7 linked regions of the Cricetulus griseus genome follow. The protein of the gene in region 5 binds, or shares a complex with, the protein of the main gene of each other region. Links are inferred from orthologs where the notes say so. Each region holds a gene or a part of one and is shown on either strand. Other genes may lie near its edges. The genes, in order: Cdkn1a, Zranb3, Fen1, Mcm7, Pcna, Lig1 and Pold4.

Region 1 (4,012 bases), on a different chromosome or scaffold from region 5:
AGAAAAAAAATCAACTTCTTTTTTCTTTCTTGTATATTGTATGTATGTGTTCATCTGTGTAGGTAAGGGTGCGTATGTATACGTGTGGTGTGTCACACCAGAAAATCCAACCCTGCTTGTCATTCCTCAGATGTTGTCCGCTCTGCCATGTGTTTCTCCTGTGTCTGTTTGAGACAGAGTCTCTCTATGTAGCCCAGCTATCCTAGGACTCACTCTGTAGACCAGGCTGGCCTCAAACTCATGAAGATCTACCTGCCTCTGCCTCCCAAGTGCTGGGATTAAAGGTATGTGCCACTGTGCCTGGCTTCAGCTTGTGCTTCTTAAAAAATATGTATGCACATGTTATACTTTATTTATTTTGTGTGAGTGAGTGTGTGTGCACATGCATGTGGGTGCATGTGTTTCATGGGGCCCCGGGGATGTCAGAGAAATCAGTCTTCTCCTACCAGGTGGGCCCGGGGATGGAACTCAGTCGGGTTTGATGGCAAATGCCTTTACCTGCTGTGCTGGCCAGTTCCTGCCTCTGCTTCCTGAGTGCTGAGGTTAAAAGTGAGCACCACTACACTGGGCCCTCGCTATGTCCTTCTTCATCCTTGCTTGTTGTGATGTAAGAATCAAACCCACACCAATGGGTTTTAATGTGGTTTGTTAGGTAAAAACACAAATTTAAATGCAGCTCAATCATTTTTGTTTTTAAAATATCTAATTATAGACTGAAGATGTAGCTCAGTCAATAGAGTTTGTCTAGCATGTACAAAGCCCTGGGACCCATGCCAACACTGTATAAACTGGGTGTGGCAGCACACACCTGTCATCCAGCACCAGGAGATTGAAGCAGGAGGTTCAGAAGTTCAAGGTCTTGGGGCTAGATTGCTTAGCAGTTAAGAGTATATAGTGGTCTTGCAGAGGACCCAGAATCTACATTTGGTAGCTCACAGCCACCTGGAACTCTAGATCCAGGGGATCTGATGCCCCCTTCTGGCTTCCTCAGGCACTTGCACTCACATGCACAAACCTCACACTCATATACACATAACTATAAACTAAATCTTTAAAAGAAAGAGGGAGCTGGAGAGATGGCTCAGAGGTTAAAAGCAACGACTGTTCTTCCAGAGGTTCTGAGTTCAATTCCCAGCAACCACATGGTGGCTCACAACATTCCGTTATGAGATCTGGTGTCCTCTTCTGGTGTGCAGATATACATGGAAGCAGAATGTTGTATACATAATAAATAAAATCTTTTTTAAAAAGAAAGAAGTTTAAAGTCATCCTCAGTTATAAATTGAATTGGATGACATCCTGAGCTACATGAGATCCTGTTTCAACAAAACAAACAGCCTTCAAGATACCCCTCCCTCAAGCTCAACTTTCTGGATGGTCCCCAAGAGAGGACTTGGCATTCTTTACTATTTCTGTTCTTTGTTAAAGCCCGTCCCAAGACAAGCCCCAGCATACACCATCAAAGTGCTAAGGATTTGGGGTTCGGAGCCTCTGATTGCACAGTGGGGCAATGGCCTCAGAAGTTCAGAACCATGGCCCCCCCTCCACCCAGCACAGGTAGGCAGATGACAGGAAACAAGGCCCTGGGAGCTGCTAGCTTTGGCTGGAATGACTCTGGCAGGGGTCAGGGTGAGTCCGGGTCTTTACTGTGGCCCCTTCCATCAGCTGCTCATCTTTGTCTTTGCCCTAAGGTGTCTCTGGGTTCCTCTGGGGTTATATTGGCACCAGAACCACCCCGGAATGTAGCAGCAGCTCCTCTAAGCCCCAGTGACAGTGGCCGCACTATGGTTGCAGAGCCAGGAGTCACCAGTGTGATGTCCTCTGTTGATCTTCTGTGGCTTCTTAGAGACCTGCACTTGTAGAGAGGGGACCATGTGTCCTCCTGGAAACATTTGAGAGCTTAGGAGAGGGCTGAGGAAGAGCTGGCAGGGTGGGTGGGGCATGGAGGGGGCATGAAGGGGACATGGAGCGAGGCCTGGCACTGTGAAACAGACAGACTATGAAATGTGACAAGGGTGTGCTTGGGGCACACACCTATAACCCCAGGCAGGAAGATCATGTCTTTGAGACCAGCTTAGGCCACATAAGATCTGTTTAAACTGAACCAAGTGTGGCAACACACCCCTGATATTCAGGGGAAGAAGCAGGAGGACTGCCATAAGTTTGAGGCCCACTCATTCTACGTGAGACCAACTGAAACTAAGATAGAACAGAGCCAGTTACTTCACTGAGGTAAAGATTTGAGGGAGAAGGAGATCATCTCTCACACTCGTGAATCCAGGAAAGGTGTTCTAGGTGGCCGGTGCTCTCCATGCAGTGAGTCAGAGGTCCAGGCCCTTTCTGTCCTATAGCTTCCCAATCTTGAGGGCCTGGAGGTCTATTCCCTGGGCTGGAGGAAGGAGAAGGCTCTAAAGAGGATGTGTGCACTTTGTCAACTGGCTCAGGAGTACTCAAATTGCCTTCTCTAGACCAGACCATAGATGGGAAGCTGACAGATGGCCGTGTATGGCTGCAGAGGTCTCTGTAGTCCCTGGCTGGGGACACAGTTGATGTGACTTACTTCTTGCGGAGTCTCTATGAGCAGATGGGATGTCCTCCTGCCTAGGAAGTCATCCTAGGCTTTTCCCGCTGAGGCACAGACCGAGAGAACACTGCAGAGGCGCCTAGGAAATGGGTTCTCACATATGTGGACCATCCAGCACCACAAGAAATGAAACCATGAGGTCCACACAGGGACAAAGGAACAGTGCACACTGCCTCCACACACAGCAGGACCCCACTTCCTCCTTCTGGTACACAGCTTTCAAAGGAAAGGAAAAAAAAAAAAAAAAAAAAAAAAAACAGCATCAAAGCCGAAGGAGTTACCGGCCCACATGCAGGAAATCCCTTATTTGGCAAATCTCCTGAATCCCCTGGGGACCTAGGAGACAGCTTGCTAGGAAGCCCCCCAGAATTTCTTATAGGGGGTGCATTGTGCTCAGCCTAGATCTGGAAGGGTGGGGGTTCACTCCCTGAGACCTCAAGAAAGGTCCAATCTCCCTCTCTGTATTTCAACTGGCTGGAAATGGCTCCATCAGCCGCCCATCCTCCCTAACCTAGGGTTTCTGAACAGAGGGGAAGAGGGTGGAAAGGGACTTGCCTTTGGGAGAATACTCACGTTGTCAGGCCGGAGTCTGAAGCAGGGGGATGGAAGGTTCAAGGCCTGTAGAGTGAATTCAGGGTCAACCTGAGGTTTCAGTAAATGAAACTTCATGCAAAGAGCAAAACCAAAGAATTAGGGGATGAAGCTTGGTGGTCGAGCCCCTGCCTAGCATGCCAGGGATCAATGCCCATGGACTGAAGCAAAGAGAAAAGGAGAAGAACAAAACAAAACCCTCAGGGCTTAGGAAAAAAACAGCTGCCTGTGGCCTGCTCTCTCTGTCTCCCTCCTTCCCTCTCTCTCTCTACCCCCTTTCTGCTCTCCCTGTCTCTCCTCTCTGCTCTCTCCTTCTCTCTGCTCTCTCCTTCTCTCTGCTCTCTCCCCATCTCTGTTCTCTCCCTTTTCTCTGCTCTCTCCCTTTCTCTGCTCTCTCCCTGTTCTTTTCTCTCCCTCTCTCTGCTTGCCCCCTCTCTCTCCCTCTCCCTCTCCCTCTCCCTCTCTCTCTCTTTCTCCCTCTCTCTCTCTCTCTCTCTCTCTCTCTCTCTCTCTCTCTCTCTGCTCCTGTTTCACTCATGGACAAGTCCAGTCCACTGGCCATGTTCCCTCTACTACTCTCTCTCTCTGCTCCGGTCTCTTCCAGATGCCTCTGACTTTTCTCTCCTCATAACTACATTAAAAAAAATACCTCCCCTTAGCCATACCATAGAGCAGACACACCATCAGTTTATACGCCACCAAGCCTAAGGACCTGAGTTTGGCTCCCAAAACCCACACACATGAAGAAGGAGAAAAACAACCCCTGAAAGTTGTTCTCTGACCTCCACATGAGAACCTGGCATGTGTGCCTGCATATACATTCATGGCCATGACAAA
Region 2 (3,942 bases), on a different chromosome or scaffold from region 5:
TTAAAACAGGTCTTCCTGCTGAGATTCTGGAGCAATGGGTCAGTGGTTAAGAAAACTTGATGCTTTTGCTGAGAACCCAGGTTGGATTCCCAGCAGCTACATGGTTGCTCACAACCATTTGGAACTTTAGTTTCAGGAAATCCAATGCCTTCTTACAGGCATGTATGTGGCATACATACATACGTGCACTCATAACACATAGAATAAATAAATCTTTAAAAAATAAAACAAAACAAAAATAGTGTTTTTCTGCTGTGCATGGTGGTGAATGCCTTTATTCCCAGCACTCTGATGACATAGGAAACCAGCACTCCATGATTCATAAACATGTGAGAAGCAATGGTTTAGGGCTGAAAAAGAAAATCAAAGACCGAGATATGTATCTCAGTCTCAAACTGCCTTGACTAAGGGTTCAGACTTCAAAGTCTTATTGCACTTACTGAGGCCCCAGTTTCTTCAGGTTTTTTTTTTTTTTTTTTTTTTTTTTTTTTTTTTTTTTTTTTGGAGGGGAGGGGAGGTTCAAGACAGGGTTTCTCTGTGACTTTGGATGCTGTCCTGGAACTCACTCTGTAGACCAGGTTGGCTTTGAACTCACAGAGATCCACCTGCCTTTGCCTCCCGAGTGTTGGGATTAAAGGTGTAAGCCACCACCTCCCAGCTTTTCTTCAGTTATTAAACAATACCAAGGCTGAGGATGTAACACAGTGATAGAGCACATAGGTAGCTAATGCAAGGCCCTCAGTCTATCTCCAGCACTCAAAAAAAAAAAAAAAACCTCAGAGCTGGGTTTTGGCAGCACCCATTTAGACATGTTAAAGTCTGCAAGGTAACAAACTGGGATGGTCTAGTCAAAGCAATCAACACATTCTAGGAATGCTCACAAAGTGTCAACTAAGGACAGACAGTCTCAGCCAGGTGTAGTGGTGCACATCTTTAATCCCAGCACCCTCTGAGGCAGACACAGGCAGGTCCTTGTGAGTTCAAGGCTAACCTGGTCTACAAAGCCAGTTCCAGAACAGCCAGGACTGTTACACAGAAAAAGCCTGTCTCAAAACCAAAAATCAAAAACAACAACAACAAAAAATCACATATGTGTCAAGGAAATATGTAAACACACTAAACCCATTTTTGGCTCAGACAAAATAGTAATATGATTGTCATTATTACTACTAATTGACTTGATTTACTCTGGAAGAGGTATGGGGAATAAAAACCAATTAAGCTTTTAGGGATCCTAATACTTAAACATCACTGGATATTCTAACTTCACGATGGGAATGAAGTAGCCCAACGGGGCTTTCTGCTTACCATGCCTGTTCTTCAGGAAGTGATGCGTTCATTAACACACATGCATGCACTCACACATGCAGAAGTATTACATTAAAAAGCAAAGACTTTTTTTTTCTTAACAAACAGAAAGTAAGACTGTGCTGGCTTTCTACAAGTTACTGATATATTTCTTCATCTAGGATTGCACTAGTTAGGTGTTTCATCTATGTGGAGTACAAACACCTCTTATCAGTACTGGACATAGACTTGGCAATACTTCTGTAAAAATAATGGAAATAGACAAACACGGTTTTTAAATCTAAAAGTAGAAAACAAAGAGAAAACCAAACCAACACACAAAACATGAGTATGAAGAGGATGGATTTAGGGAGATATTAAAAGACCAAGTAACATTAATTTTGTTTAATCTTTCTCTTCCTCACTCCTAAAAAACAAAACAAAACAAAACAAAACCTTTGTGTGCACTATTGAACCCTTTAAGTCTGGTATACTCACTACCTAGTCTCAGTGTTCAATAAATATTTACAAGAAAAGTTGTAAGGCTAAGTCTCCTTAAAAACCATGGAAGAGACTTTGAGTAGCTTCAGGCTTGAGGTGATCAATCTGGTATGCCTCATTTAATAAGCTTACTAGGTTGTGAATTCTGAAGGCTTTTTTGATGATGCCTTTTTGTCATTGGAGTATTACAAGTGTCACCTGGTCGCCACTTAATATTATGGAAGGGTTACTCGGGACCATTCCATTAGTCTAACAACCCGAGCTTTGTTCCTTCAAAGGCAACTTCTGTAGAGTGTTTGAACAGAAGGAATTAGCTCAAACTAAGGAAACAAACCCACGCTGCGTCACGTACAGTGGCTAAAGGCTAATTTTTTTTTTTTTTTTTGTTTTTGTTTTTGTTTTTCGAGACAGGGTTTCTCTGTGGCTTTGGAGGCTGTCCTGGAACTAGCTCTTGTAGATGAGGCTGGTCTCGAACTCACAGAGATCCACCTGCCTCTGCCTCCCGAGTGCTGGGATTAAAGGTATGTGCCACCAACGCCCGGTTTAAAGCAAATTATTAAAGTGTCCTCTAAAAACTCAAGAGAGGTGCAATCTACTAGTGAGCGGATCTGATAAGAAACATTGGGTCCGCAGGAATAAAAAACAGGATAGGAAATCACATTAGGGGCTCGGGAATTACACCCATGACATTCCACATTTCTCTTGTGTGTGTGTTTATTTTAGACAAAGTCAATTCTGTAGTCCCAGCTATTCTAAAACTCACTCTGTACGGCAGGCTGTCAACTCACGGCGATCTTTCGGCTTCCTGCTGTGATAGGCATGAGGCACCAAGCCCGGTATATTCACTTTCCAATCCTTTGGCCTACACAGTACTCCCAGACCGACAAAACGGGTGCACTAGCTTTAGAACCTCCAACTCCCGCCAAGCTTTTTGCAAGTGTAGGCACCTAAGCGGAAGTGACGTTGGGATGACCTGAAAGTGGGAGAGTTAAAATACCAGCACTATAAAACCCTGTGATGTCCTGAGAAAACTCCCCATCCTTCTTTTATATTTTCTCTCCTCCTTCAATGAGGCTAGAAGACCGGACTACAACTTTGCGACCTCATTCATAAGTCCAAATTATTCAAAAGGTTTCCCTACCCATTTGGAGAAGAGGGGCACACCGTAACCTTTCAAGAACTACAATTCCCATGAGACGCAACAGGAAGCAAGTGGAGAAAATTGTTATGGGGGTTCGCAAAGCATCTTGGGAACTGTAGTTCCATAAGTCAAAGTGCTCAGTAGTCCTGCTCTCCACCACTAAGACTGGAGAAACCAGGTGTTCCGCTTGCAATCCTTTACCGCTAAGGGGAGGAGCCTCATGTTTAAAGCCTTCCCACATCTCCTACATGAAGGACAAAAATTCTCATTTCATCCTTAGAACCTCTACAAATATTCTCTGAAGAAATATAGTTGTTTCCATATCCCCAGTGATTAAAATCTCCCGGAACTCGACTACCTCAGGGTCCTACTCGTGGGAAAAGGTGGTTCTTTCACAAGTGGGCAAAATGGCTGTCCTCCTAGCTTCGTCATTGGTTGACTCTTGCGTCCTTCAAGGACGATCGCTTGCCAGGGATTGGTTCTTTGTCTTCTAGGGGTGGAGATAGATTTAGCGCAGTTCTAACGCGGCCCCGCAGCGACAGTGGGGTGGAGCTAAAGTGGTTTTTAAACGTTGATTGGATAGACTTTATGTCACTCAATGTTCATCTAGCGTATGAGGGAGCCGGCTACCCGTCAACGCGAACGGAGAGGCGGGACTAGTGCGTGGTGGGAAGGGGCGGGATCCTGCCGCCGCGGCTGCCGCTGGAGCCGGTGTCCGGGCTGGTGATGGGGTTAATTCCCTTCCGTGAGACTCTTCCTTGCAACCAGCCGGCCCCGCCGTCGCCCCGCCGCGCCGCGCTCACGCCGCCTCCTCCTGCTCCTTCTCCTCAGTAACGCGGGTAAGCGATGCGGTCCCCTCCCCCGCGGCGTCCCGGGAATAACGCGCTCGCTCCCCTCCCCCGCCCGCCGACCGGTAGCGCTAACGGAGCGGGAGATTGAGGCAGCCAGGGAGCGACGCGCTGAGGAGACAGCGTCCCTCCCCGCCAGCCCGCCTGGGCCGTGGGTTTCTGAGG
Region 3 (3,931 bases), on a different chromosome or scaffold from region 5:
TGGAGAAAGATGATAAATGTTGACACATCTAGTTGACTGCCTGCCATGGAGTAACTGCTCAATAGGTATTTGTTTCCTTCCTAAGGTTGTAGAGAAGATTATGAGATAATGCCTGTGAAAGGACTATAAATGCAAAGTTCTGTACAAATGTTAACTTCCATTGTCACTTGCCAGCCAATGCCTCTAAAGTCCAGAACATAACAACTCCAGAGAAGTAAACTGAACCCATTGTTCTAAGAGACACAGGAATTCAATTCAGTAAACAATTATGTCCCCCTTTCCCCCCTATAAAAGCCAAAGACAATTGCTGCCATTTATGGAGCCTCCAATTGCAGGCCCAGTGTTTGGCAACAAGAATACAAAGAAGAATAGACATCACCCCAGAACTAGATGCACGTCAGATGGTGGTCACTAGGAGGCGTGGCAGATAAAAAAGAGGTCCACGAAACGTGGCAAGAGGTGTACAGAGACTGTAAGAGCCCAGAAAACAGACAAGTGCCTGTGAGAGTTGCAAGTGTTTCACCAGGTAATGACATGTATCCAAGGGCCTTGCGGGATGAATTCAGCAAGGGAAACTTTCCAGATAGCGATAACTGATCATAGGAAAGAGAAATAAACGCGCGAAGGTATTCAACGTGCACCCCACGCCCCTCAGCCTTATGATCAACAATATCATAAGCCCATTGTGATGGAAACCTCAGTCTGAGAAATTCTCGGCAAGGGGCTTGCTTTCCCCGTTCCTCAGCTAAACATGGGCTCCAGCAGCGACCCACCCTGGGGACACGGAATGCTGACGACTCCGCGGAAGAACGCGGTGTGGACCGGATACCCAGGAGTCCTGGCCCACAGCCCTGTCCGCAACTCCCACCATCTCACCATTTTGCCCCGCACACGATAAACCACCGGTCCACCACCGGAAGAACACGTCGGCAAGAGCAAGCGCGTTGAGCAACAGGAAGAGGATGTGGTCCCTCGCGCGTGGCATTGTGGGACTTGTAGTCCCGCGGTTTCAGGTGTAACGGTAACTGGGACTCTGAAGACCTATGTGAGTGACATGGGGTTGGAATGTGAGAGGGGGTAGTGCAGAGTCTCTGTTTTAATCCGTTTTCCCCGGAAATAAGGTCCACTATGAAAGCTGCGGTCTGAAGTGGCAGAGACTGCACTATATTTCCCAGGAGGCTGTTCGCGGAGGGCGGGTCACGTGACCGGAGCGCGGGCTTTGGAAGGCGGCGAAGCTGGAAACGACTTCGGCTCTACATCAGAAGAACGCGCTCGAGTCGGTTCTGAGGACTCCGTGGATGCCGGACCACCGCTAGCTGCCGAGGGAGGGTGAGGCCTCGCGGAAGCGGTGCTGAGAGCGACGAGTTACCGCGGGAGCAGCACCAGGCGGCCCCGGCTTTGACCATTCGCGCTGCTGGGAGCCTCCGTCTCTTCACCGGTAGGAAGTAGGTAATAACCTTTCCCCGCGAGGACTACGGCCTTATTTTAGAAACACTAGAAACGACTTGTTCAGTCCGTTTCCTGCCCGGGTCTGCGGGGTACTGCAAGAGGAAGACGACTAACAGGGTATTGCTAGGGGAGTTTGTTAGCTGGCAGTTCGGGGATTCCGAAGCAGAACCTCAGTCCACCCGGAGAGAGCAGAGCCTGTTTCTCCGAGGGCCCTTGTGAGGAGGTTTTGTACCTCTTAGGAAATGGGTCCAAGGTCTGCTGACATCAAGAGACACTGCTTGCGTCCTTTTCTTTCTTTCTTTCTTTCTTTCTTTCTTTCTTTCTTTCTTTCTTTCTTTCTTTTTCTTCCTTCCTCCCCCCCTCTCCTTCCTTCTTCCTCCTCCTCCTCTTCTGTGCTGTTTTTTATTTTTTTATTTTATTTTTTTTTTGGTCCAGGATATTTTTTTAAAAAAATAATTTTATGGTCATTGGTGTTTTGCCTGCATGTATGTCTGTGTGAGGGTGTCAGAAGCCCCGGGACTGGAGTTACAGGTATGAGCTGCCATGTGGGTGCTGGGAATTGAACCCCGGTCCTCTGGAAGAACAGCCAGTTAACCTCTGAGCCATCTCTGCAGCCTCCCGAGACACTGTGCTTTCTGATATTTCTGGCTGAGGGAGGCGTTTTATCCTCCATGCAGCCATTTCATGTAAGGGTTTGCTATCTGGGACATCCTGTGGAGGCGGGACTGAGATGGCATCAAGACAGAACAGTGTATCCTCTGTGACAGGATGGGTGCTGTCTTGTACTCATTCTAGCAAAGCAGTGAGACATGAACCAGAGCACTGGGTGGGCAACACTGGCACACCATCTGGTGATGTGTGCTTTCCACCTGGTGTTGGCCAGTTTTGCAAGGCAGAAATGATTCTTTCACAACTCATACCACAGAGTAAGTGCCTTAATTGTGTTTCACAGAGCTGAAGATGTGGCTCAGTGTAGAGCGCTTGCTGGCGCTAGCATATGTGAGGCCCTAGGTCAGTCCCTGTTGTTATGCACAGGACACATCAAGTGGTTTCATGGGTGGTGGCTGGATTCGAAGCTGGGCTTTTTATTTGATTTCTGGTGCTGGGGATTCAGCCGGGGACTTCAGCCTTGCTAGGCAAAGCTGCTGTACCTGTGAGCTATAATCCTCAGCCCTAAGGCTGGACTTGGCTGCTTGTATTCATAGGGGAACCACAATAATACAGACAGGAAGAAGAGAGGAAGGATGGCAGGAAGAACACACGGCTGATCGAAAGAGGGAGGTGGGACTTTTAATTAGGCTCCCATACTGTACAGGTAGATTTTGATGCTGTTCCTACTGAGGTGTTGGGACTCAGGAAGGGGAGTATAAGTGTCACATAGGCTTCAGAGAAGATACCATGGAGTAAGATTGGGAACAATTAGAACTCCTAGGATAGGGTTTTCTTTCTTCTTTCTTTGGTTTTTGTTTTTTGAGGCAGGGTTTCTCTGTGGCTTTGGAGGCTGTCCTGGAACTAGCTCTTGTAGACCAGGCTTGTCTCGAACTCACAGAGATCCACCTGCCTCTGCCTCCCAAGTGCTGGGATTAAAGGCATGCGCCACCACTGCCCAGCTCGCTTGCTTGCTTGCTTGCCTGCCTGCCTGCCTGCCTGCCTGCCTGCCTGCCTGCCTGCCTGCCTGCCTGCCTGCCTGCCTGCCTTCCTTCCTTCCTTCCTTCCTTCCTTCCTTCCTTCCTTTCTTTTTTTTTCAAGACAGGGTTTCTCTTTATAACAGTCCTGGCTGACTTGGAACTCACTTTGTAGACCAGGCTGGCCTTGAATGCACAGAAATCTGCCTGCCTCTGCCTCCCAAGTGTTGGTATTAAAGGCGTACACTACCACCGGCTGCCTGATAGGATTTTCTTGTGTGGAAACACTATCATTGGGCAAGCAAGATGATGCTAGTAAATTATGTATTAGAAAATCCTTTTTATTATATTTAACACATTAAAATATGACTGATATATGCAGGTTCCCCCCCCCCACACACACACACAGGATTTCTCTGTGTGTACTCCTGGCTGTCTTGGAACTGGCTTTGTAGACCAGATTGGCCTGTAGACCACTGCCTGACACATGCAGTTATTTTTGCTTAAAATGGATTCTCTTTCCAACTTAAGTTTTTGTTTGTTTTTTGAGACATGGTCTCACTGTAACTCTCGCTGGCCTGGAGCTTGCTATATAGATTAGGCTGGCCTGGAACTCAGATCCACTTGTCTCTGCCTTCCAAGTGCTAGGATTAAACAGGCATGCGTCATTGCCCAGCAGTGGTGCACACCTTTAATCCTGGCCCTCGGGAGGCAGATAGACTTATCTCTGTAAACTTGAGGCCAGCCCAGTCTTCAGAGCGTGTTCTAGGGCAGCCAAGGCGGTTACACAGAGAAATCTTGTCTCAAAACAAAAAAATTGTTAAAAGCCAGGTGCACGTCTTTAATCCCAGCACGTG
Region 4 (4,056 bases), on a different chromosome or scaffold from region 5:
CCCACAGAATCAGCCCGCACTTCTCGGATCACTCGAGGCTTGCTGCTACTTGGGCCTTGGAAATACAACTCACTAGAGAAGAAAACATTTGTCAGCAAGGTCCTGGAGAACAAGTTCCTGACCTTACCCACAAAGACACTTACAATCTACGCATCAGCTCAGAAGGATATTGATTTTGAGGGTTCCGGACTGCCCCAGGGTCTCTGCTCCGCTGCTCCATCATCAGTCGGTGCTCAATGTAAACATCCAGAACATCTTTATTCACCACCTAAAGAAGACAAGGAAAGTGAGAAGCAGGACAGGAAAAGAATGGGGGTTATCGGGCAGGAGAGCTCAGAAACCAGCAACCTACCTCCTTCTCCTTGTACTCAGGCAGAAGCTCTTGTACAACATCAGCAAACAGCTTTGAGTAGCGTTTGGCATTCTCACAAATTGAGTCGACCAGCTCAGGGTCATCTTCAGCAACATCATCTAGGTCCACGTACAATGCCACTTGTTCCCGATGAGCCAGATGAACCTGAGGCAAGGACCAAGTTTACTACATCCACAAAAACAAAAGATCACAGTGCAGAAACACTTTCAGCCCCGAAAACAACTTCCTGACTCCTATAAACACTGCCCCACATACCAGACAAGTACTCTGCTAAACTAGCCACTACAGTCTAGCATGGCAGTGTGCTTGTAATCCCAGTACTTGGGAGGCACAAGTCAGGATGATCAGGAGTTCAAAGCCAATCTCAGCTATTTAACCACATGAAGTATTCTTGAGGCCAGTCCATGTCACACAAATACTATCTCTAAAAACCAAGAGCCAAGAATAGGGGTGATGGCTCAATGGGCCAGGCACTGCCACCCAGCCTGAAGAACTGAGTTTGATCCCCAGAACCCACAGTGAGAGAATGGACCCCCAAATTGTACATTCGACCTCCATTTCCATGTAAGCCCACACATACACGAATAAACATAATTCAAACAGTTAAAAAAAGACAAAACCCAAAGCTAAAAAGAAAAACTTTGTACACAACAACCAAAACCAAATCATTCACGCCTTTAGTCCCAGCACTGGGGAAGCAGAGGCAAGTGGATCTCTGTGAGTTTGAGACCAGCCTGGTCTGCAAGAGTGAGTTCCAGGACAGCCTCCAAAGCCACAGAGAAACCCTGTCTCGAAAAACCCACAAAACAAACAAACAAAAATCCACTGACAGCCATACTTGCTGTAACAAGGTAGACCACCTTGTACAAGTTCTTACATGCTATTCCAACCCCCCATTACCAATCCTGGGACTTACCAACTGGGTTCCATACTTGAACTGCTTCTTTCCGAGTTCATCATCATAATAAAACTCTTGCAGGAATTTTCTAACTTTTTCTACAAACAAATGTAAAAATTCAAAAACAAATCTTAAGGAACAGTGAGGTGTAAAGACCACTGCGGCCAAGCCTGACTATCAGAGTTCAATCCCTGGGCCCCACCCACAGGCTGGGAGAGAACACACTCTCGGCCTGTATCTAACACCCACGTGCAAGTAGTGGTATGTTCGTGCAGCACACACAATCTACCTTTTCGGATTCTTTAAATTTTCAACGGAAGCCTAAGAAACCCACTTTCATTTAGGACGGGACCTATGAACTAATTAGTTAAATGAACAGTCAAAAGAAGCCTACCTAGTTCTCCCCCAAGCGGGCAGTACCCCTTTTCACAAGTCTGCTTTTACCCGGGGAAGGATACAGGTCCCTGGGCAGTTACGAGAGTCTTACCCCAAGCTTCCAAAGAGAATGTGACTCACTGCCCAGTTAGGAGTCTCAGTTTCTTCCGTTCTCTCAGCTCGCACACGATCGACTTTCAAGACTCTCGGTCCTCCTTCCACCCGTACAACTCTTTTTCTACTCCCGCCAGGACGACCGCCGCTAGGCCTCCCCCGCACCCCACACCCCGCTCCCGCCACCGCTTCCGCTCTTAGTAAACAAAGAAGCACATGGGCCCGGATTCCAGCCGCCTCACAGCCCAGGATCCCTCCGCCCGAGGCGGCTGGCCGTGCGGCGATTGGCCAGCACGCCAGAGGGCCACTCGGGGCCACTTCACTGCCACCTCTCGCCGCCGGGCGTTCAGCCTCCCAGTTCCAGGCACGCCCCTACCCGCCGCAGCTACCCCCGAGCCCCTGCGCGGAAGGACACTGTTTACACACGACACTCCCTCCGACAGGGAAGCGCCACTTCCGCCCGCCTCTACTTCCGCTTGGAGGGCGGACTAAAACAACCAATCCCGGCGCGCAGCGGCCTGACAAGCCCCGCCCCCGAACCCCGGCGCGTCTCGAGTGGACGCGGGAATTCTCTGGCGCCCCAAAGAGCAGAGGCAGAGGCCCCCCCTTTCCCCGGGCCCTCGGGCCGCGCGCTGCATGCGAGCCGCGCGCTGCAGGCGAGCCCCACGTCACCCGGGTCTCGGCGGCGCGGCGCGGTGCGGGGTGGCGCCCTCCTCTACCTGGCCCCGCTGGGTCCTGCTCCTCACACAACCGCATCGCTCCCATCCTGATGCCCGCCACGCTCGTCCCGGGCGCAGGCCGGGCCCCCCGACACAGACCCCGGCTCCCCTCGGCAGGCGTAGAAGCCCGCGGAGAACCGCTCCCAGCCCGCTCCCAGCACGCCACCTTTCTCGATCGCGTAGTCCTTGAGCGCCATCGCTGCCGGGGACCTGCGACGGGAGCCGGCGAGCCGAGAAGCCTCACTCCGGGGAAGCGCAGAGCAAGCGCGCGGCGCGATGCAGCCACCAACCGAAATTGGCGCGAAACGTCGCCACCCACGTGATACGTGCCGCTGAGTACGGGCCAATCAGAGCAGGGGCCCCTAACCGCTGCCGGCACCCAGTTTCAACCAATCCCTGGGCGAGTCTGGGGCGAGTGACAGGCAGCGAGGGGGAGGGCCGCAGGGAGAGTGCTGGCCCGGCGGGTGGGGCGCCGGGTTTCCCGCGGCTCAGAGTTACGGCCTCCCGTGTGGAAGTGGGAGGAGTGTTTCTTAAAGCGCCAGCCTCCGTGCCTCCTTTTGTTCGTCGGCCGCAGGGCGGGGTGGCTTCAGCTTTCTCCGTCTTCTCGTCTGCCCTCCAGCACGGCCATGATTTCCCAGTTCTTCATTCTGTCCTCCAAGGGGGACCCACTCATTTACAAAGACTGTATCCTTGGCCAGCGAAACGGGGCGGAGTAGTCGGTAGAAGTGGAGCCCAGAGCCTTCTGGGTCGCCTGCTCCTTAACTATCCTTCCAGTTCGCGGGGACAGTGGTGGTCGTGATGTGGCCGAGCTCTTTTACCGGAAGCTGACGGGACTGACTGGAGGCGAGTCCCCGGTTGTCATGGTAACCACTTGTGGCGGGCTTGCAGGGGCTTAGGACTGTAGAGCTTGGTGGGTGCCTCATCGCTCCCTTTCAAGGGCTGCTTGATAGGAAGCTTCCAGGGAGGGGAAGGGATACGTTTCTCCAAGTGTATTTACTGAGTGCTAACAAGATGCCAGCAACAGCCTTGCACCCTCATCACTTGACTGTCAACAATCCTGAGAGGTAGGTTACACGTTAGGAGGCCAGGTAGTTGGGAGGTTTCAGGGATCACCCACTAGTAGCAACCTTAGGATGCCATCTCGTGGGCTACATTACTGCAATTCTGGTCTTTTAATGCCTCTCTCCCCAACTCTGCCGCAGTACCATGATGACCGTCATTTCATCCACATCAGACACAGTGGCCTCTACTTGGTGGCCACAACCTCTGAAAACGTCTCTCCTTTCAGCCTCCTCGAGCTGCTTTCCAGGTGAGTGGGGCTGGGATGGGCACCCAAGAAGCAGGGCCTGAGAGGGTTAGTCACACACACTCAACTGTGTTTCCTTAGGCTAGCCACTCTTTTGTGTGACTACTGTGGCTCACTCAGTGAGGGGACCGTCTCACGGAATGTGGCTCTTGTCTATGAACTGCTGGATGAAGTACTGGTAAAGCCCAAAGACTTCCCTCTTTTTTTTTTTAAGATTTTATTTATTATGTATACAACATTCTGCTTCCGTGTATATCTGTACATCAGAAGA
Region 5 (4,059 bases):
CAACACTCAACTCCCACCCCCAAAAGTAACCACGGCTGGCGAGATGACCCAACAGTTAATACTCGATGCTCTTCCACAACATCCAAGTTTGGTTCCCAGCACCCACATCCAGCAGCTCATAACCAACTCTAGTAACAAGAAGCAACAAGTTAAATGCAAGCTAAGGGACATGTTGACCAATTTTCATTTTATCAGGAATTTTTTTCAAGTCCCAATTCAAACTAAGGAAATAAGAAACATGTGAATACTGAAAACTTAATTTCCTTTGTTGTGGTAATGCTTATGCTTTAAACAAAATACTTATGAATTAAATACCTTGTGATCTGAGGATGACAGGTAAGTAGGAATAATTAAGCAGACAGATTAAGGTTAAGAACCAGCCCTATGGGTTGTGTATATATGTTCTAATCCTCAGTTATACAAGTTGCAGACAAAATAACATTAAACACTTTGTGTTAAGCACTCCGAATTTTACATTTAGCACTAAAAATCATATTTAGTTCAGACTGTGTCTGCAATTTATAGTCTGATGCTCAGACTAGCTGGCAAAACTTTTTAAAAAACTTAGTATAATTAAAAAGTTTTGACTTCTGAATATTTAGCAATTAGCCTAGTATCTTCTGCTTGAATGAGGCTTTCCAGGCATTTTTCCTTTGCCTTTCCAACATCTTCCTCATTTTTGAGGACTTTAAAACTTATCAACACTCAACTTTACTTAGTCTGCTTTTGCACCATTAAATGGGGTAGCACGTGAAAGTCCAACACAAAGCTACTTACTACAAGATCTACATGATCCCAACAGACTCACAACCCCAACCATTTTCTTCTGTTCACTTGTTAATGCTTATTTGTCAGTCATTCTAGGAAGCAAAAGCTTGGAAACACCTAGCTTCCCAGTCCCACCTGTGAAAGCATATATGCAGAGTGTGGAGTATCTAAGTTCAAAGACAGCCTGGTCTACTCACACTCCACCTCAAAAGAGCTAGGTCTGGAGAACCAGCTCAGCAGTTAAGCTTATATTCATTCCCCTTTCAGACACTGCAGACAACTTTTACTACTTACAGCTTCCTCCTCTTTATCAACATTACTTGTTTGTGACAACTTAATGTTTCCATTTCCAAGCTCTCCACTTGCAGAAAACTTCACCCCATCCTTTGCACAGGATATTACAACAGCATCTCCAATATGGCTAAGGTCTCGGCATATGCGCGCAAATTCACCAGAAGGCATCTTTACCACACAGCTGTACTCCTGTTCCTGTAAATCCCAAAGTTAAAGGTCAGAAGTGTGAGGACAAGTATCTGATTTCTTTAAAACTCAATTTTAGACTGTCATTGCTTAGTGAAATTGTCTTTCATTCCAAATACCCACTTTGGAACTCATCAGCTGGTATCACAGCTTGGTAAAATTCACCAGCGAAAACAGGATATTCTCCCAGCACTAAGGGGGCAGAGGCAGGCAGATCTCTGCTGAGTTTGAGTCTACAGAATGAGTTCAAAGACCACCAGAAACGAGAACAAGATACTCACAGGGATTCCAAGTTGCTCAACATCCAAGTCCATTAACTTCATTTCATAGTCTGAAACTTTCTCTTGATCTAACAAAAGGAAGCAAATGTTATTGAAGCACATGTTCATACCTATGGTGTAAAACTTTACAACCGCAATTCTGTTAATATCCTTAGTTTTGAGAAACAGATCATACTTTGCTTTCTGTAACAATTGAGTTTTAGAGGTGTAACTTACTTGGTGCTTCAAATACGAGTGCTAAAGTATCGGCATTATCTTCAGCCCTTAGTGTAATGATGTCTTCATTACCAGCACATTTTAGTATTTTGGACATGCTAGAAAACAAGAAGCAGGGCTTATCAACACCATGTGTTCAACATCTACTCTTTTAAAGGCAATTACAAGATGTTACCCTTTTACGCCCACACCAAATCCCCTGGGGGGGGGAGTAAACTATCGGGAATGTGATCCTTAAAACCACTCAAAGGCAATATGCCAGTAAATAATTTTTTGAGCAGGATGTCCTTGGTTTCCAGTGTATCAGAGTGTGCCCTATATCATATGTGGCCTTTTCACAAATCTTTTAAAACGTATACCGGTGGCAAATTCATGCATCTGTAACAAAGTTAAAAGCTAAGACTGGTAAATTTTCCCACAAATGATTCGCAATGAGATTCTAGACTCCAAGTAGAAAAGGCCTATTGTCCCTCTAAGTGGACAGTACCACATTTTCACCAGAACACGTTTAGTAGGCAGCTAAAATTAGCCAGGACAAGGTTGTGCCCTGAAATAAAAAAAGCTGCTGGCGTTTAATGAACTGATCTCCAACGCAGGCATTTTCCCGCCGGCACCCGTTTTGTGGCTTTGGCGCGGAAACAGCGGGTTCGCGCGGCCACCAGCGCGGGCTTTTCAGAACCGCGCGCTTCCTCGGGCTCCGCCCCCAGCTCCAGACACCAATCAGAAGGCGCGGATGACCACGTCAGCCAATGAGAGCACGGAGCCGGAGCCCCGCCAAGACCCGAGGCGGGAGGGCTAGAGCCCAGCTCCCGCCACCCGCTCACCTGGTGAGGTTCACGCCCATGGCTAGGTTGCGGTCGCAGCGGTATGTGTCGAAGCCTTCGGAGCGCAGAGTGAGCTGCACCAAGGAGACGTGCGACGAGTCCATGCTCTGCAGGTTCACGCCGCCCGAGCTGATGTCCCAGCAGGCCTCGTTGATGAGGTCTTTGAGAGCCTCCAACACCTTCTTCAGGATGGAGCCCTGAACCAGGCGAGCCTCGAACATCCTGGCGGAGTCGCGACGACTAGATACTAGAGACTGTGACAGGAGAGAGGGCCGGCCGCGAAGGTCTCCCGGCTCGCGATGCAGAAGTGGCAGCGAGGACCCGCAGGGAGCGACTACCAACTTGGGCGCCCGCAACCGTTTTTATGCTGCCGCTTCCTAGGCGCGCGCTCTTTCCGTGCGCGAGAGTTGCGACGTCACCGCGCTGCCCCACCCACCTTCCCCTCAGAACCAATCGTATCCGAGTCCCGCGCAAGGCCCGCCCTGCCGCGTACACAGAGGCGGGGCTGCGGCGTACGGGCGTGGGAAGCGTGGGGCATTATGGGATCCGCGGAGGCCCACCTTTTGGAGGAGGCTTGTCCCGGCAAGTTTCCGCGCCACGGAAATGAAAGTCACGTGCAAGCCGAGCTGCGCCGGGAGGCGCGGGTCGGGGGTTGGGAGGGGTGGGGTGCAGGGCTGCCTGAAGTCGAAAAGTATACCTGTTTCAAACACTACAGAGCGCTTTTGCTACTGCGTAGGCGAAAACGCTGCAAAATACCGAGTAAGGAAGGAGCCACCACATCTTAACCCCGGTTTTCTATCACTTCACTGTGTTGGGCGCTCTGAACTTTCCTCCCTAAAGATTAAAGAGTTCCTTCTTGCCGTGAACACTTCTGCAAAGAACCCCAAAGTATGACTATCTCTTAAGATACATAATCCATAGGTCCCACCTAATTAGTTCCCTGTTACGCCTCTTTCCCTAGCCTGAACCCCATCTAGGCTGGAGATGAACCCAGGGCCTAGAGGCTAAGCACCAATAACTTCATGTTAAAATCAATACCCATTCCTGAAAATGTCAGCCATTACAGGTGCATGTGTTCCTGCTGCGTTTTGTTCTACTGAAATTTCTTTTTCCTGTTGATTATAAGGGTGGGGGAAACTGAATGCAGGTGGTGGACACCAGCTACAAACGGATGTAAAGCTATTTTTTTTTTTAATTTCTAATGTTTCTTCTCTTTGTTTTGTTTTGGTGATGGATAAAATATGTTTGATGCCGAAAGTGTAAAATATTAATGTGAAAGTCCACAGTTTCTATTTCAAATGCCTCTTTTTGTTTGTTTGTTTGTTTGTTTTGTTTTGCTTTTTTCGAGACAGTGTTTCTCTGTGGCTTTGGAGGCTGTCCTGGAACTAGCTCTTATAGACCAGGCTGGTCTCAAACTCACAGAGATTCACCTGCCTCTGCCTCCAGAGTGCTGGGACTAAAGGTGTATGCCACCACTGCCTTCCTAACAT
Region 6 (3,500 bases), on a different chromosome or scaffold from region 5:
AGACAAAGTGTGGAGGACAAGACTGGAGAGTGGCCAGCCCACTCACCCCTGCTGCTCTCTCCTCAGGTCCCTAAGTGGACGCCTGCGCCTCGGGCTGGCTGAGCAGTCCGTCTTGGCTGCCCTTGCCCTGGCTGTGAGCCTCACACCCCCTGGCCAAGGTGAGTAGCTCTGGCCCATTTTTATGGCAACACTGTGTTTATAGGGCCCCCCTTCTCCATCTGTTGCCCCATTCTCCGAGAATGCTCTTAGGCAGCCTACCTCATTCCTTTCTCTGTCATAGGCCACACACTGCCCTCCATGACTATGGGCCCTTGAATAGCCAAGGGGTCATGTTCATAACTAAGCCACTGGTGGGTCTTTTCATAGAATTTCCCCCAGCTGTTGTGGATGCTGGGAAGGGCAAGACCACAGAGGCCAGAAAGACATGGTTGGAAGAACAAGGCATGATCTTGAAGCAGACCTTCTGGTGAGATGCAGGGCTGGGGCAGAGTCGTGGCCGACACGTGAGTGATTGACATGGGTCTAACACCAGCATGGGGCTGTGATCGAGGCAGGGGTGATGCTGGGTTGTGAGCAGTGAGAGCAGAGCAGACAAGGAGAGCATGTGGGCCTCGGGCACAACCTGCCTGGAGTTCCAGCCAAAGCCCTAAGGGACCCAGAGAAGAGGCTGTGACTACTCATAGTCGATGTTACAGGCACAGTGAGGGTTAGCGCTCTGTAGTGAGCCACATGGAGGGACTTTGGTGAGCAGCTGACCTACGACCTTTAACTCAGTGACCTCCTCAGTGAAGGAGGGCAGTGAACAGTTCCGTAAATAGCCCCAAGGCACCTGATCTGGGCCTGACTTCTCTGAGTACTGGGCATTCTGTGATAAGTTTTGTACACGTCACCCAGTGGCTTAGCATCTGGAGGCTCCACCATCTGCCAGGCCAGGCTCTGTCCTGACCCAGACCAGCCGGGACGGCCATAGCCTTGAGTGGGACACAGTCATTGCTCTTGGGACATGAGCAAGGGGTGAGGGAGGGTCCACGCTGAGGGAGACCACCCTCATGGGGTGGCACGGTGACTGGGAGTAGGACACGGTCACAGAGTTAAGCAGAGGTATTCAGGAGCCCCAGTCTGGCATGGGCTGAGGGGTCTCTGTACTTCCGCTTATATGTAGACAGCAGAGTTTTCAAGTTCTAGAAAGAACCTCCATGGGTTGGGTGTGTGGTTTACACCTGAAATCTCAGGACGCACTTGGGATTTCATGTTAGAGTCCAGCTTGGGACCCTGTTACAGTGCAGCAGATCCTGTCTTGTAAAATCCCCGAGTGGGCATGTGGCTTAGCAGTTGAGCACTTGCCCAGAATCTCACAGTTAGGTCGGGGCTAAGGCATGGCTCTGTGATGCAGTGTCGTCTGCCTAGAATGATCCGTCCTGATCTGGGTTGGGGCTGTGGCCCAGCAACATCTCCTTCATATGCCTGAGATCCTGGGTTCTACCCTTCCTCCCAGTACCATGGAAGAAAACAAAAAGCTTGTCATGTTGCTCTCTTCTCTTCAACCTCTCCCTAGTGAGGTACCTGACCTGGACCGAATCATCCCGGTGCTGCTGGAACATGGCCTGGAACGCCTCCCAGAGCACTGCAGGCTGAGCCCAGGTACCCGCCACGGGCCTTTGAGGCAGGGGCAGCTATCCTCTGGAGCCTGAGTGAGCAGCTGCACCCAGACAGCCTCTGACTGCTTGTTCCCTTTGCCGAGACCCTTTCCTTTTCCGCTGAGCGCTCCCTTATGAACTGAGAGGAGCATGGGCTGCAGCAGCACAAATTTCCCAGAAGGCTCAGGCAGTGGCTTGGCCAAGGAGAGTCTGTCATGCACCTCCATGTTCAGATCCCGGCAGGCAGCCATGGCGGCATGTGGCTGTGCTTCAGTGGTCATCCAAGGACCTGGGTTCCTTCTCTCTTGACTCTCTGCTGTCTTGAAGCTGTCACTCTAAATCCTATATGATCAGGGACAGGGGAGGTAATCGTGTTGCTTGTCAAGCATGCGACTGGTGTAACCATACACTGCTCTTGTTACTCCTGTGCCCGCTTTATGGCCTTTATTAGCTGCCAGGGAGGCTGGTACAGGGACCCAAGTGTGTCTTCTGAAGTGTGGGTGGTCCTGTCCTTTACATGATAGCAGGAGAAGAGAGTAGTAGGTCCTGGGCAAATTGGTAGCCTTTGCTGCTCCCTCTATCTAATTCCTTGATCCATAGCCTTCCCTCTGACTTCCTAATTTGCTTTCTTCCTTCCCAGGGGTCCCTCTTAAACCAATGCTGGCTCATCCCACTCGGGGTGTCAGCGAGGTACTGAAACGCTTTGAGGAGGTGGACTTTACCTGCGAGTACAAATATGACGGGCAGCGGGCCCAGGTATGGGTAAAGCACAGCCCCTCCTGTGGGAGGACGGTACTCAGTACAGGCCCCGAATGGCACAGTCCTCTCTGGCTTTAATCTGCCCTCTGTTCAGTGAGGGCAGTACCCTTCACCCAGCTTATGGCAAAATGGGGGTGCCAGGAGTTCTGACTACAGAAGGGTCATCAGATGCTAACTCTCCTGGTGCTTGGTGAATGTAATATGGTTGCCCTTCTGGAAGGCCCTGTGTGACTCCTAGTGCAGTGACAGGCATAGGCCTCTCGGGACAGGCATGCTGGGAAGTGTGCTATGGCTTTTCTCTCTCGGTGGGATTTGGGACTAGGTTGGCATTAATCGCATGAGGAAGGGATAGCACGCAAGGTGAGTGGTACCTGGGGCTTTGGGGCAGTCACAGCAGTGGATTCCACATGCACAACCTCAGCTGTGAGTCTTCAGAATAATACTGAGAAGACAATCAGAAAACGGTTTATAATAGTGGTCACGCTATGTTAAAGATATCATGTGTGTGAGATGGCATCTATGTATATAAAACCCTGCTCAAACCCCGTGACCAGACAGTATTCAAACAGCTAAGCCAACAGTAGAATCCAAAATGATTCAGTTGTAGCACAACTCATTCAGACAGGTCTGTGTTGCATTTAGCAAGGTGGATGAGCTTTCAGAGTCAGGGAGGTGGGGCAATGGGAAGACAGAAACAATGAAGGCAGGCACCAGGCTGGGCAAGATGCTTTACCAAGCCTGATGACCTGAATTTGATCCACATGGTGGAGGGAGAGATCTAACTTCCTCAGCTTGTTCTCTGACCTCTATACTCAGCAGTATGGTAAATCTGTGTGTGTGTGTGTGTGTGTGTGTGTGTGTGTGTGTGTGTGTGTGTGTGTGTGTACTCATAGTGTGTGCATACGTGTTTGTGTGCGTGTGCACTTAAGCCTGTGCACATACACATACACACATTTAATAAAGGTTAAAAAAACAGAACAAATAAAGATGGTGGATGCCATACACAGGTTGCAGGTACCAGGAAACTTGAGATGACTTGCTCAGATCTCTGGAACAGCTTGTTGAGCTTCCCAAACTTATTAGTGAAGATGGGGTCTGAAGACC
Region 7 (3,662 bases), on a different chromosome or scaffold from region 5:
AATTTTACTTAATGCTGAACACCATATGACATAACTGATTTCCATGTTTGTTTTGCTATATTTCAGTGGTAGTAACACCCACGGAGACCTATGGTGTCAGAACATAATAGTTGCTTACAAGCTGGGCACCTCAGACAGGCTTTTTGCTGGCTGGTCAGGGAAGGAGACTCAGAGTGCTTTTCTAAGTACCACCAGGGGACACCAGAGGCTGCTCAGCTCATGAGAAGACTGCCTTAGAAAGACAGATAGGGAAGCCAGGTGGTATAGTGACACAGCCTTTAATCCCAGCACTCAGGAGGCAGGGGCAGGCAGATCTCTGAGTTCAAGGCTAGCCTGGTCTACACAGAGAGTTCCAGGACAGCCAGGGCTACACAGAGAAACCATGTCTTTGCGGCGGGGGGGGGGGGGACAGACAACACAAAAGCCTATAGCTGGCTCTCCTGCCTACTTACCTTTTGGGAACTGCCAGCTAGAGCAGAGTCATATTAAGGGACTAAAGGTCAGGATTTCAGGCTTAATGTACTTTATTGTAAGCGTTAGTGAACTCTTTGATTCTTCTGACATCTGGCTTTGAGTCAGGCTGTGCTGGATTTACTACATCAGAGAGGGTATGGCAAGCATCTGGTGGTCATGATTAGGCCCCGGAGGTGTGGTCTCAGGAGCATCAGGAGCCTGTTGCTTGGACAGGTAAGAGGCTGAATCAGGATGACCTCCACAGTCAGCCTGCTAACTGTTTCTCCAGAGCTGAGATGAGCAGAGCAGCATCTACTGGCCATGGATTCTGTCCAGAAGTTCTTGGTGGCTAGGAGGTGTCAAGGGAAGAACAACCCGGGTGGAACCTCAGAGTGGGTAGAGATGCCAGAGGCTGTGGGAGACAGGGGAGGAGGAGGAGTGCAGAGCAGAGTCAGTTCTATTCCTTGATGGATCTTCAGCAGTTCTTAACTATTGTGTGTGCTTCTGTGGCTTTGATGAACCCCCAGTACTCAGATAGCCCCATGGGCCCTGTATATACTCTTGCACCACCATTAGCTCTTAGAGGTAAGGATCATTAAAGGGGTCTGTCTTGAGCCAGGCACCTAGAAGACCCTTCTTACTTGTCAGGAAGGACCCCTTAAGTCTGTGCCCATTTCTCCAAGTCAAGGAAGCCCCTATGCAGACCAGAGAGTGGCAACTCCTAGAGAAGGGCCTGGTTCCCTGAAAGCTGTCCTGACCTGAATTGGAAGCGGGGGTCTTCAGAGTGTGTCTTCAGCACCTGGTGCACCTCTAGAGGGGGCTTCAAGCCCATCTGCTCTGCCCGATGCCAGCGCTGCATCCGTGTGATACCTGCCAGGGTGGAAAGAAGACTCAGCAGGGCAGAAGAGTCCAGGCTAGAGGCCTCCACACATGCCAGTCTCAGGAGACAGTGTTAGGCAGGCACTTGGATTATTTCTGAAACACATCGATGACAGAACTGGTTCAGAGATGTGCCTGGTGGGCTGGAGGTGGGGTTCTCACCTGTGCAAGGCCCATACTGCCAGGCCAGGTCAAACTGCCTCAGCAGCTCCAGCTGTGCTTCCTCCTGGCTGAGGGACTGGGTGTCTTCTCCTGCAATAACATGCAGCTCCTCAGGCCCATCCAGGCCTTTGCCCTACCCTGGACACAGCTGTGCCACTGGCTGTATCTTCACTCATTTGCCTTTGCCATCCAGCAGCCAGACAGCTCATCAGAAGTATGAGACATACTAGCTTCTCTCTCTCTCTCTCTCTCTCTCTCTCTCTCTCTCTCTCTCTCTCTCTCTCTCTCTCTCTCTCTCTCTCTCTCTCTCTCTCTCCTCTCCCCCCTCCCCTTTCTGGTCCTTGCATACTTGCATACCCACTCTTTCTGCCACCCCCACATTTCAGAGACCTAGCTCTGGTGCCAGCTCCCTCTTGCTGTGCCCAGGGGGCCCCTCCCTCTTCTTCACAACAGGGTAGGAGTCAGTGATGAACCGCTTCCGGCCCATGGCGGCCACCCAGGCAGGCGGAGCAGGAGGCAATAGCGGGAAAGAAAAGGCAGGGCAGTGGGCCTGTGAAAGACAGCTGCTGAGAGTGTGAGAGAGGGCCAGAGAGAGATGGGCCAGCGATGGACAGACAAGTTGACCCAGACAAGCAGAGAGAGGAAGTCCCTAGGTTCCAGAGAATGACGCCTGTCTTCCGCCCCCACAAGCACGCAAACATCAGAGCCTAAGCAAATGGCAAGCGGCCTTTGTGGGGCGGGACCCTAATTTTAGCCAATGGCAGTCGTCAGAGGGCAGGGGGTGGGGCAGCTGCTGCTGCGTCCGAGTGAGGAGGGTTTAGGCGGAACCAAGGACCTGTCAAGATGCCCCAGACTTCACCACCTCCTCCGGTCCCTCATTGGTCCACTTGGGTCCCTAGGGACATATAGAGAGTTATCCTCAGCCTCTCACTTCCCGTTTTTCCTTCCTAGGCAAATGTTCTTTTCAGCCTCACTAATCCCCGTGGCCAGTTTGTAAGTCCCCTGAGCCCGGCTGGAACCTTTTACTCCTGCCGGTTGGCCCCAGAGCGTTGTGGGATCAGATCTTTAGGTCCAAAGAGAGTTTGAACTAATCCTGGCCTTTTCCCTGCTCCTACCGGCCCCAAGAGACCTGGCTGGAGAAGCCCATGGGCTCCGAAGGCTCCTTTCTCACAGTCCGCTGGCAGAGACACTGTCCACCCAGCCCAGGCATGCGGTTGCTGTGTCCACTGTCAGGCCCGACAGCCTGCCTCTGTCCACTTTGCTAGTCAGGAAGATTCCATTCCAAGCAGGATGCCAGAAGTCTAGTCCCCACTCCCTATGGGTTCAGATCCCCAGTTCTCCCCCGCTGCCCCCTTTTGGTTTTTGAGGCAAGGTTTCTCTGTGTAGCCCTGGCTGTCCTGGAGCTCACTTTGTAGACCAGGCTAGCCTCAAACTCACAGAAATTGCCTTACAGAGATTTGCCTGCCTCTGCCTCTGCCTCCTGAGTGCTGGGATTAAAGGTGTGTGCCACCACTGCCTGGCATAGATCTCCAGTTCTTTTTTTTTTTTTTTTCGAGACAGGGTTTCTCTGTATTGCTTTGGAGGTTGTCCTGGAACTAGCTGTTGTAGACCAGGTTGGTCTCGAACTCACAGAGATCCACCTGCCTTTGCCTCCCAAGTGCTGGGATTAAAGGCGTGTGCCACCAATGCCCAGCTTAGATCTCCAGTTCTTAACTGACAGATATGCTCTGTTTCTTAGAAATGTGTATATAACAGAAAATAACATCAATAAACCTTTCCCTTATATTGGGCTTACCATGTGCCTAGAGCTGTACTAAGCAGTTCCCACAACCTTATTCAAAATAGACATCAAAAGAGTTTTGCAAGTGGGTGTAGGTAAATTGTGATCAGGGCTCTTAGTAACAGATACTGTGTAACTAGCCTTCCTTGTGCTCCAGAAGATCCCAAGCTTGCAGGGTAGAGGGGCATCCAGTTGTCAGACCTGTACAGGAAAGCAGAAGGAGAAAGAACTCCTTAGAGCTAGAGGAGGATGGTGGGCATTGGGAGAAACCTCCAGGAGGTAGATTGCTGTAAACAGTGTCTCTCAATTCTGTACCCATGACCTTTGTCTTGGGGCTCCTGTCATCGCTGACTCACCCCTGCTATCACCTCCCCCTCACCAACTTCCT

The links.
Region 1: the proteins of Pcna (region 5) and Cdkn1a are in contact, whole or in part, in a crystal structure (PDB 1AXC), measured with the Homo sapiens proteins. The link is inferred for Cricetulus griseus from reciprocal best matches to the Homo sapiens genes PCNA and CDKN1A. Residues at the interface, in NP_002583.1 of Homo sapiens: Cys27, Asp29, Met40, Ser43, His44, Val45, Ser46, Leu47, Ala67, Met68, Gly69, Ala96, Asp97, Leu118, Met119, Asp120, Leu121, Asp122, Val123, Glu124, Gln125, Leu126, Gly127, Ile128, Pro129, Gln131, Tyr133, Ala208, Asp232, Val233; in NP_000380.1 of Homo sapiens: Arg143, Gln144, Thr145, Ser146, Met147, Thr148, Phe150, Tyr151, His152, Ser153, Lys154, Arg155, Arg156, Leu157, Ile158, Phe159, Ser160.
Region 2: the proteins of Pcna (region 5) and Zranb3 are in contact, whole or in part, in a crystal structure (PDB 5YD8), measured with the Homo sapiens proteins. The link is inferred for Cricetulus griseus from reciprocal best matches to the Homo sapiens genes PCNA and ZRANB3. Residues at the interface, in NP_002583.1 of Homo sapiens: Met40, His44, Val45, Ser46, Leu47, Gln125, Leu126, Gly127, Ile128, Pro129, Asp232, Val233, Pro234, Tyr250, Leu251, Ala252, Pro253; in NP_115519.2 of Homo sapiens: Asp1071, Ile1072, Thr1073, Phe1075, Leu1076, Val1077.
Region 3: the proteins of Pcna (region 5) and Fen1 are in contact, whole or in part, in a crystal structure (PDB 1UL1), measured with the Homo sapiens proteins. The link is inferred for Cricetulus griseus from reciprocal best matches to the Homo sapiens genes PCNA and FEN1. Residues at the interface, in NP_002583.1 of Homo sapiens: Cys27, Asp29, Met40, His44, Val45, Ser46, Leu47, Ala67, Met68, Gly69, Asn95, Ala96, Asp97, Leu118, Met119, Asp120, Leu121, Asp122, Val123, Glu124, Gln125, Leu126, Gly127, Ile128, Pro129, Glu130, Gln131, Glu132, Glu201, Pro202; in NP_004102.1 of Homo sapiens: Arg19, Phe27, Gly28, Arg29, Lys30, Lys80, Val167, Lys168, Ala169, Gly170, Pro188, His208, Ser210, Arg211, Leu296, Lys297, Trp298, Ser299, Glu300, Arg332, Ser335, Thr336, Gln337, Gly338, Arg339, Leu340, Asp341, Phe343, Phe344, Lys345.
Region 4: Pcna (region 5) and Mcm7 share a complex: the UniProt entries of both Homo sapiens proteins name them as parts of the replisome complex. The link is inferred for Cricetulus griseus from reciprocal best matches to the Homo sapiens genes PCNA and MCM7.
Region 6: the proteins of Pcna (region 5) and Lig1 are in contact, whole or in part, in a cryo-EM structure (PDB 8B8T), measured with the Homo sapiens proteins. The link is inferred for Cricetulus griseus from reciprocal best matches to the Homo sapiens genes PCNA and LIG1. Residues at the interface, in NP_002583.1 of Homo sapiens: Met40, Ser43, His44, Val45, Leu47, Leu126, Gly155, Arg210, Ala252, Pro253, Lys254, Ile255; in NP_000225.1 of Homo sapiens: Ala361, Gly363, Arg364, Ser368, Ser388, Thr389, Gln390, Arg391, Leu392, Met393, Leu394, Val432.
Region 7: the proteins of Pcna (region 5) and Pold4 are in contact, whole or in part, in a crystal structure (PDB 6HVO), measured with the Homo sapiens proteins. The link is inferred for Cricetulus griseus from reciprocal best matches to the Homo sapiens genes PCNA and POLD4. Residues at the interface, in NP_002583.1 of Homo sapiens: Met40, Ser43, His44, Val45, Ser46, Leu47, Val123, Glu124, Gln125, Leu126, Gly127, Ile128, Pro129, Gln131, Tyr133, Asp232, Val233, Pro234, Tyr250, Leu251, Ala252, Pro253, Lys254, Ile255; in NP_066996.3 of Homo sapiens: Lys4, Arg5, Leu6, Ile7, Thr8, Ser10, Tyr11, Pro12, Val13, Val14, Lys15.

Annotation. Positions count from the first base shown.
Region 1 is NW_023276806.1:257,585,737-257,589,748, reverse strand, and holds the start of Cdkn1a (cyclin-dependent kinase inhibitor 1), read right to left. Parts: upstream 2,801-4,012; 5' UTR 2,561-2,800; intron 1-2,560. UniProt on the Homo sapiens protein: Plays an important role in controlling cell cycle progression and DNA damage-induced G2 arrest. Involved in p53/TP53 mediated inhibition of cellular proliferation in response to DNA damage.
Region 2 is NC_048598.1:60,708,631-60,712,572, reverse strand, and holds the start of Zranb3 (DNA annealing helicase and endonuclease ZRANB3), read right to left. Parts: upstream 2,801-3,942; 5' UTR 2,552-2,800; intron 1-2,551. UniProt on the Homo sapiens protein: DNA annealing helicase and endonuclease required to maintain genome stability at stalled or collapsed replication forks by facilitating fork restart and limiting inappropriate recombination that could occur during template switching events.
Region 3 is NC_048596.1:50,248,125-50,252,055, forward strand, and holds the start of Fen1 (flap endonuclease 1), read left to right. Parts: upstream 1-1,131; 5' UTR 1,132-1,438; exon of another isoform or gene 1,439-1,449; intron 1,450-3,931. Other genes in the region: transmembrane protein 258, read right to left, coding at 877-879. UniProt on the Homo sapiens protein: Structure-specific nuclease with 5'-flap endonuclease and 5'-3' exonuclease activities involved in DNA replication and repair.
Region 4 is NC_048597.1:116,878,920-116,882,975, reverse strand, and holds the start of Mcm7 (DNA replication licensing factor MCM7), read right to left. Parts: upstream 2,801-4,056; 5' UTR 2,677-2,800; coding exon 2,646-2,676; intron 1,910-2,645; exon of another isoform or gene 1,759-1,909; intron 1,370-1,758; coding exon 1,290-1,369; intron 518-1,289; coding exon 353-517; intron 269-352; coding exon 144-268; intron 73-143; coding exon 1-72. Other genes in the region: Ap4m1 (AP-4 complex subunit mu-1), read left to right, coding at 3,106-3,163, 3,254-3,342, 3,682-3,788, 3,867-3,963. UniProt on the Homo sapiens protein: Acts as a component of the MCM2-7 complex (MCM complex) which is the replicative helicase essential for 'once per cell cycle' DNA replication initiation and elongation in eukaryotic cells.
Region 5 is NC_048599.1:46,331,537-46,335,595, reverse strand, and holds the start of Pcna (proliferating cell nuclear antigen), read right to left. Parts: upstream 2,801-4,059; 5' UTR 2,791-2,800; coding exon 2,570-2,790; intron 1,844-2,569; coding exon 1,746-1,843; intron 1,598-1,745; coding exon 1,530-1,597; intron 1,258-1,529; coding exon 1,063-1,257; intron 1-1,062. UniProt on the Homo sapiens protein: Auxiliary protein of DNA polymerase delta and epsilon, is involved in the control of eukaryotic DNA replication by increasing the polymerase's processibility during elongation of the leading strand.
Region 6 is NC_048602.1:26,552,844-26,556,343, reverse strand, and holds part of Lig1 (DNA ligase 1), read left to right. Parts: intron 1-66; coding exon 67-158; intron 159-366; coding exon 367-466; intron 467-1,555; coding exon 1,556-1,641; intron 1,642-2,277; coding exon 2,278-2,393; intron 2,394-3,500.
Region 7 is NC_048596.1:55,018,304-55,021,965, forward strand, and holds Pold4 (DNA polymerase delta subunit 4), read right to left. Parts: upstream 2,188-3,662; 5' UTR 1,982-2,187; coding exon 1,885-1,981; intron 1,585-1,884; coding exon 1,495-1,584; intron 1,324-1,494; coding exon 1,212-1,323; intron 866-1,211; coding exon of another isoform or gene 841-865; exon of another isoform or gene 803-840; coding exon 766-802; 3' UTR 501-765; downstream 1-500. UniProt on the Homo sapiens protein: As a component of the tetrameric DNA polymerase delta complex (Pol-delta4), plays a role in high fidelity genome replication and repair.